Linked DNA regions of Caenorhabditis elegans. The protein of the gene in region 2 purifies or fractionates together with the protein of the main gene of each other region. This does not show direct contact. Each region holds a gene or a part of one and is shown on either strand. Other genes may lie near its edges.

Region 1 (3,924 bases), on a different chromosome or scaffold from region 2:
GTTTTCTAAATACATTTTTTCAAAAGAAGGCAAAATTATTTGTTTTCCAATTGCCGTTCGGATTGAGTACTGTAACAAACTTTCGAGTTTTTTTCTTCCAATTTTCAAATATATTTTCTAAAAATAATTGTTTCAGGGAACGGCATCCATAAGTACCGGAAGCAATATTTTAAAATTTTTAAACGTGTTGCCGCTAATAAAAATGGGTTTACAGCCGAAAATTGATAAAACGAGCTTGCAATCAAATTCAACAATCCCACTTCTAAAATGATTTTTGAAGAGATATTGTTCCAACTTTTATAATCCTTACTTTTGAGACCAAATGTTTCATTCAATTTAGTGATACTGTTTTTTTAAATGAAAAAAGCTCGCCTTTAACTGTATGTGCACCATTAGAAACTGCTGATTTAATTTTTGCAAGTCTTCTGGTGACTGATTTAGCGTAACACTCGTCCACCGGAACTCCATCAAATCTAATTTCGTAGCTTTCTTCGTGAACAGCGGCGTCACACGAAAGAATGCTTTCAATTAGAGTATTGATTGCACAATCCCTTGGATCAACACAGTATTGGGAGAATCTGAAAGAACATGAAATTCAAATAGTTTCGAAGATTTTTATACAAACGTATGTCTGAAGGCCACATATCGATCGATAGTTATTTCAATTTTCTGGTTAATCTTGTTCACGTGCCACTTCATGAGACAACTATTCGTGGCAGTTTTCATCATTTGTTCGCCCGTTAGATGGTGAGGTGTCTGAAATTAAAAGATTAAAAGATTAAAAGTTAAATCTGAAATGTTCACCATTGCAAGAGATGCCTTGAGTTTTCCAAGACGTTCATCAAAAGATTCACGAGCTACTGGCGATGGAGACTTTTCCATTTTTACTTTTCTGGAACAAAAAGATTGAAAATTGCAATTTTTGAAAAGTTTTTTTTACTTAGACTCATCAGAAGCTCCTTCTAAATCTGATGTCTTCACTGCTTGTCGCTTTTTCGCTGCAGATGCCTTCACGTAACTTCCAGTTTTTGTACGATCCTGAATATTAAATTTGAAATATATTTTTAAATAATGAAGATCACTTACTTTGTTAGCAGCAATTCCAGCACCCATTGTTCGAATCTTTTGCATTAAAGTCTGAGAATATTCACATCCGAGAAGTGTTACATTAATGAATAATTGTGAGAGGCATTGAAGTTGGATTCTGGAATTGAAAATTGTTTTAGAAATAGTACAAGTGTGATATTATAAAACTAATGTTTTTTTTTCCAGAACACAATTTAGAAACATTAATTTTTTAAATCTATAAAATTTGAAATCAAAACAAATCAGGCATGGGTGGTAATTCTACAAAATGACGTATTGCGCCATGTTTTTCCAACACTTCTCATTAAAAATTATGTTCAAAATATAGAAATTCACTTGATTTAGTTGAAAATATTATCAATTTTAACTGAAACATTCGAAAAAAGAGCTCAAAAAGGAATGAAAAACTCCAATTTTTTTCGATGATTGGTAGCTTTCAGGTGATTTTTGACAGCTTTTTTGAATATTTCAGCTGCATAAAATGATTTTTTTTTAAAGATAAATCAAGTGATTTTCTTTATTTTGGCACTAATTTTTAATGAAAATATTGGAACTCTAATGAAAATATTTGGAGCACATAGTGCAATAAGTCATTTTTCAGAATTGTCGGCCAGTGCTGAAACAAACTTCGGATAGTCATCATAATGTGCCAGCATGAATGCTTTTCGGAGCTCCCACGCATCGTCGCTCTCCCATAATTTCTTTTCAGCTTCCACGTCTTCTAACTTCCCCATTATTTCTGAAAATAAAGTATTTTTTCAATAGGATTTCCGTAAAAATAGAAACGGTAAGATATTTTAAAGCTGACATTTAAACTTGAAATAGATTATGAAAGAAAGCCGCGTTATGATTGAATGTTTACTCCATGAAAAAAGAAACGAACTAGAATTTGATTAGAAGAAAAAAATAAATTAAAAAGATTTGATTAAAATTCAGACAGAAAACAAAAAAAAACAGACGAGATGATGACAGTGGTGGAGCAGAGAAATCACAAACAAGTGTCAGTAAGATGATGAAGACCCGGAATCGAGCTCAATGAACAAGAGTACAGTGACCGAGAGTGCGATGAGAATCAGAGAGACAATTGTAAAAGTTAATCCGTATTTCAGAGCGAATAGTAGCCATATCATGAAGAAAATTGACTGGTAGCTGGCAAAATACTGCAAAAAAAACCAATTAAAATCGGCGGATAATCCCTTTTAAATTACCCGTAAACGAAGCAAAGGAGGTGATCGTATAATTCTTGCTGAATACGCTGGAACTGTTGCATTCGGATCTAGATTTGGCACCGGTGGATACATTACTTTACGAGCAATTGCACCAATTACTGAAATAACATGAATTACAAAAAAAACAATAATTTCCAACTTACCACTTTGTTGTGAATAATGATCTCCAATTTTCTGAACAAATGAAAGTTCGTTGAGCTTCTGAGCCAAAGAAGTCGTCAATTTAACAGCAATCCCAAGTTCGTAGCTTCTTGTTGGAGCTTTTGGATCATCTTTAATGCAATTGGAGTAGTCAAAACGTCTACAAAAGATAATATAATACGATAATATATAACGAAAGACAATTAAAACTAACTTTTCTCTATTCAAAACTTGTCGTTGTCCGATTGGTGTTAACAGCATATGATTTGATGGTCCATCAACAAAATGATCAGGTATTCCAAGACCAGATTTTGGTGTTTCGTTCAAAAGTGATGTGTATAATCTGAAATAATTTTTCAATCAATAAAAAGTGTTTTAATCAGTATTTTCTTACTTTTCCTTATGAAAAGTTTCATTCCCTGTTCTATTTGCCAATACAGAATCTTCCATTTCCGGCATAAAATGAGTTCCAACATAAGAATCGCTGTCTTTCATTAGTGTTAACAATTCGCTAACAAGTCTTCGACTGGACTGTGTTCTAGCCGAATCACCACTATAGAATAAAGAGTTCCAGAATCCTGAGTGTTCCTGAAAAAATAATTTGCATAGTTCTCTTAGATTGACCGAGATGGGCCCACCCATTTTTCGAAAAAAATAATTGGAAAAACATTCGTTGGAAAACGTGTTTAAATGATGAATTTAAAGATTTTTTAATATCGAATGGTGTTTTTTCTTTCAAATTTGCAAAAAATACGATAATTTTCAGCTTTTTATATAAATTTTTTTTTAGTTTTTGACAATTTTTTTCAAATAAAAAATGAGGCCGGGGTCTCGACCAGGCCGATCTAAAAAAAAATTGGGTCGACCCACGCAACAGGCCTTTTTTGTAAGTGAGTGTTTCATCTTGAAATGCTCAAAACTAACATCTTGTTCTTTCTGAATCGCACTCCGATGCATTCTAACAACCACTTGCATTTGTTTCAACAGTTCAAGAGAATGTGGTTGAATGTCTAGTTGGATATGACGGAGCAGAAGTGTTTGTGGCTCTTTCCATGCAAATTCTATGATAGCTCGCAGTGATCCAAGAAGCTCCTCGCACATTTCAAATGCCGAGAATCGTTTGAGAATCTTGCCAAGTATCACTTCATAGAATTCCACGTTTTTCTCAAAGAACTGACGATATTTGGCCGCTGGAGCGAAATCCGACGGATTTGACATGTTGTGATAACGCCAAGGACGGCAATAAGTAAGCCAGCACACTGAAATTATTTAACATTACGAGAAAAAAGTTTAAAGTAGTAAACCAACTTGTTATATCTCTAAAAACTATGGTTGTAGGCACTTGAGTTACGGAGCTTTTAAAGAAATCGTAAAGCGAAAATCTGAAAGGAGCAGAAGCCATCAAATCCAACTTCCAGTTATCAACTTCCGGATCGCCTGTGCTGAACTGACAGAACACGTGGAATTG
Region 2 (3,924 bases):
GAACGGTGTCCTTCATCTCTCGAGTCTCAACGTCTCGTACCAGTTTTGGAATCTCATCTAGCAATAGTGGAGTGTTCATTGATCGTCCATGTTTTTCGAATGCACGTCTTCCGGCTGTTCTGACCAACCAACTTGAAGCAATTCCAGCTTCATGATGAGCTGATGTCCAGTCGTCGCCAAGGTTTCTGGAACTTTTTGGGTTTTGTTGTAGAGTCCCAATTTTATGGAACTCACTTTTTTGCCCAATACAAGAAAAGGCCCAAACTTCCAGCAGTGACGTCACCTTGACCACCACAGCGACGTAAGCTTGATTCGGTTGAACACTTCGATACTGAAAAAGTCCGAAGATTATGAAAATGTTTTTTTCCAGTTATCACTCTTTTTTTCTACTTTTCGTAGTTTGAAAATATAATAATATTTTGCAAGTTTTCTAATTTAAAAAAAAACGCCTTTTGAAATCGAGGCGCAAGCGCGCTCCAACACCAAATCAAAACGCTCCACCCCCAAACTTTGGGTCTCGTTAGGTTTTTGCAGCACAACCAGGAATTCAAACATTTTCAATTGTTTTTGTCGATTTTCTCCGTTTTATGCAATTTAACTTTTTTTCTTTCGAAAAAATTAACAAAAAACTAAAACTTCTTGAAAACTTTTGAATTCCTGGTTTCGCCGGTTAATACCTAACGAGACCCAACGTTTAGGGGCGGAGCGTTCTTATGTGTACGTGGAGAGCAGTTTCGTTCCGATTTGATGTCAAAAAAACTCAGTTTTCAGCATTCTCGCAGGAAAAAGATCAACCTTAAAGTAGATTAGGCCTTACCTTCGCCGTTCGGGGTGACCACTAGATCAACTTCTCCCTTCAAATAGATCGTAACATTCATTTTCCGACTCAACTCGGCAGCCAAATGCTGTAGTTGGCTATTATTTCTCACATTGAGCACATCCTCTTCACCAAGAGCCGATTTACACAGACGTGAGAACTCAACAATGTTCGGTGTGAGTACTGTAGCCGACATTTGCCGTGGGAATTTTTCAATATGCTCAGACACAAACCAAAGACCGTCCTGAAAGATGCTTTGTAAAAAATACAAACTATTTCAGTTTACCCCATCGATTACAAATGGAACATCTCTATTTCTGACGAATTCGAAAAGTTCCTGCATAAGTGGCCAAATGTTTGGATTTCGTCCCAATCCAGGACCAATCACAATTGCATCCATTCGGGAAAGTTTGGGAATAATAGAATTTGCCGTCATTCCAGGATGTACAATCAGATCCGGAGAGTATCCTTTAATAACTTGAGCCGCATCTGGATCACAGAAGATGTGAATAAGATCAGCTCCTAGTCGCGATGCTGAAGAAGCGGCAAAGTAGGGTGCACCCGTGTATTCGAGAGATCCTCCAATTACTCCCATTTTACCGCAATCACCCTGAAAACGACTGTATAGGTATAGATGCAGAGAAATACAATTTTTTAAATCAAGGTGCAATCGTACTCTGTGGACAAAGACGTTTGGTCTTGTTAGGTATTGGAAGCAAAACCAGAAATTATAACTTTTTCAATTATTTTCACCGATTTTGCCAAATTTCAAGCAGTTTTTGTAATTTTTATTGTTTTTAAATTATTTTTTTTAGTTTTGAGAAGGTGAGTTTTATTTTATTTTAAGTGTTATTTTTTTGAGTTAGATAATATACATATTTTGATGATTACAGACTATTTGAACTTTTCTATCTACTCTACTTTTCAGTGTTGTTTTCCTAATTTTCGAAAAAGGAAAAAAAAAGTTCTATCCATAAACTTTTTTATTGAGCCACAAAAAAGTTGTTGTTTACTACAGGACTGCAACTTTTTTTTCTCTTTTTTACTATCCCTAATTAAATTCTTCTTTTTTTATTTCTTTAACTAACCTTTCTCAAATGCGGTGTCAATTTTGGCAACAATTTGATAAAATGATCCATAGAAATCTGAAATAAAAATTAATAAAACAATGTACTGGCACCAAAAATTATTTCGAAAAAAAGAAATCAAAAGATGGCAATTCCTCTCTAAAAAAACGAAAAAAGATAGACAAAAATGGCTTCAATTCAGTGAGAGGAAGGGTGCGATAATCCTCGTAATTCATTATATACACGTCTGTTATAGAGAACATATAAAACGAGATAACACAGACTAGATGGAAATATAAACAAGTGTTCGCAATCAACTTGGAGAGACTGAAAAGATGATACAACAATGTGGGTAAATGAGTGTGAGTGGAGGGGTGAGAAAAAGTAAGAAAAAAAATGATTGAAGGAATTCAAATTTCCGGGCGTCAATAGCACAGGGTTGGAAGGTTTGATTGAAAAACAGGAAAAAAACCGGGACGAGTATTTACAGGAAATTATTTCGCAGAAGAAGAAGGGGAAGACGTCGGCTTGGCAAAGTACTGAAAGACGGCCTGCAAAATGTAGGTAGAGCACAAGGAGAGGAGATGCATTAAAGTGAAGAAAGAAAAGAGAAAAGAAAAGAGAAATAAAAGCTTACTTGGAAATAGTTGTTAGACCCAACGTCAGGAGGGGACGATGGTGGTGTTGATTCGAATGAAGTTGAGCCTTCATCAATTGATGACTCTCTACAAAAACATAGATTTATACAAGATGTTTTTGAACTGGAGAAATTGAATTTTTAATATCTAAAAGTTAACGTGATTTTTTTTTCATTCACCAAAAATGGTGAATACTTTGAAAAATTATAAGTCTATTGAATTCCATTTTCATACCTTCAAAACTCAAAAAATTAGGGGTAACTCTCATTGAATGCGATCTAGCTACATCTTAAGAGCTAACAGAAAAGTAACTGATCAATTTTTGTTTTATTATATTCAAAATGACCCAGAAGACCGAATTTCGAAACGGACGTTTTCAAAAATTTGTCCAAAATTTTTTATGGCGGTTCAAAATTTACAGAAAAGGAAACCGAATTTTTAACTAACATTTCCAATTTTTCAAACATCGACATATCAAAGCGGCCGGAAACAGATTTTTATTTGATTATCACTTTATTTATTTTCTTTTTTTTGGCCATTTTTTCTGTACCTAAATTAACTAAATTACTATAGATAACTGACAAAAATGTCATAATGGGACAATAATTACATAAAATTAAACTACAGGCCGTTATGGCGCGTAAAAGTTGGCAAATTGGGGAAATTTTAGTTAAAAAATTAATTATTTTTGTCGACATTTTGTCGAAATCGAAATTTCGAAATTTTGAACCGCCAGAAGAAGGTTTTGAACTCATTTTTGAAATGTTTCGTTCTGAAATTCGCAAAACAATTTTGATCGGCCACTTCTCATTTAAACGTATACCTAAACATGTGAAAGGCTTGTAATATGGAGAGCAGTGTTAAAAAGTAAGAGGAAGTCTAGAAAATCAGTGTCTTCTGCCAGAAGATTTCCTTTTCTTTTCTCGTTTCTCTTGTCTTTCATTCTCGCAACAAATCCGACAAACGTCGTTGTCGCCTCCTTCGTTTCCGTTCTCTCTGCGTTTCTTTTTGAAGATTCTCTCCATTTTTTTAGTTCTAAAAAATCAGGGATCACTCTCTCTCTTGCTCTCTCATACTACATCTAAACTTTAATCTATGCAAGTAGGAGACTAGTATGACATAAAAATACAGAACTAATTTGGGAAAAGCAGTGTCTGATGAGAAAAAGGAGACATACAAAATGGAATCCTGCTCCGGTTTAGGGAATTGTTCTTTGTTCGGTGATGATTCCGCCTGGCAAAAAAACTAATAAAATTTAATTGAAAATTATGAAACGTTTAATCAAAAGCCGATTATATTAGAGCAACGAAAGGATTATTTTGATAACCCCAATAAAATACTCACACTTACAACCTGCGTCTCTTGAATCTCTTCTGATCTTGTAAGTGTCTGCTCCGATTCG

What was found.
Region 1: the proteins of R107.2 (region 2) and paxt-1 fractionate together in Caenorhabditis elegans (co-fractionation; one large-scale study listed by BioGRID). This does not show direct contact.

Annotation. Positions count from the first base shown.
Region 1 is NC_003279.8:8,594,234-8,598,157, reverse strand, and holds the start of paxt-1 (Partner of xrn-2 protein 1), read right to left. Parts: upstream 1,826-3,924; 5' UTR 1,821-1,825; coding exon 1,714-1,820; intron 1,205-1,713; coding exon 1,087-1,204; intron 1,039-1,086; coding exon 941-1,038; intron 893-940; coding exon 805-892; intron 757-804; coding exon 626-756; intron 579-625; coding exon 373-578; intron 1-372. Other genes in the region: R05D11.9 (Sphingomyelin phosphodiesterase 4), read right to left, coding at 2,088-2,246, 2,295-2,413, 2,459-2,616, 2,671-2,799, 2,851-3,044, 3,381-3,715, 3,765-3,924. UniProt on the Caenorhabditis elegans protein: Plays a role in maintenance of steady-state concentration and turnover of microRNAs (miRNA) by degradation of mature miRNA in complex with the exoribonuclease xrn-2.
Region 2 is NC_003281.10:9,043,977-9,047,900, forward strand, and holds the start of R107.2 (ATP-dependent (S)-NAD(P)H-hydrate dehydratase), read right to left. Parts: upstream 1,963-3,924; 5' UTR 1,957-1,962; coding exon 1,906-1,956; intron 1,428-1,905; coding exon 1,104-1,427; intron 1,062-1,103; coding exon 818-1,061; intron 332-817; coding exon 235-331; intron 186-234; coding exon 1-185. Other genes in the region: ikke-1 (Inhibitor of nuclear factor kappa-B kinase epsilon subunit homolog 1), read right to left, coding at 2,379-2,435, 2,522-2,609, 3,700-3,767, 3,867-3,924. UniProt on the Caenorhabditis elegans protein: Catalyzes the dehydration of the S-form of NAD(P)HX at the expense of ATP, which is converted to ADP.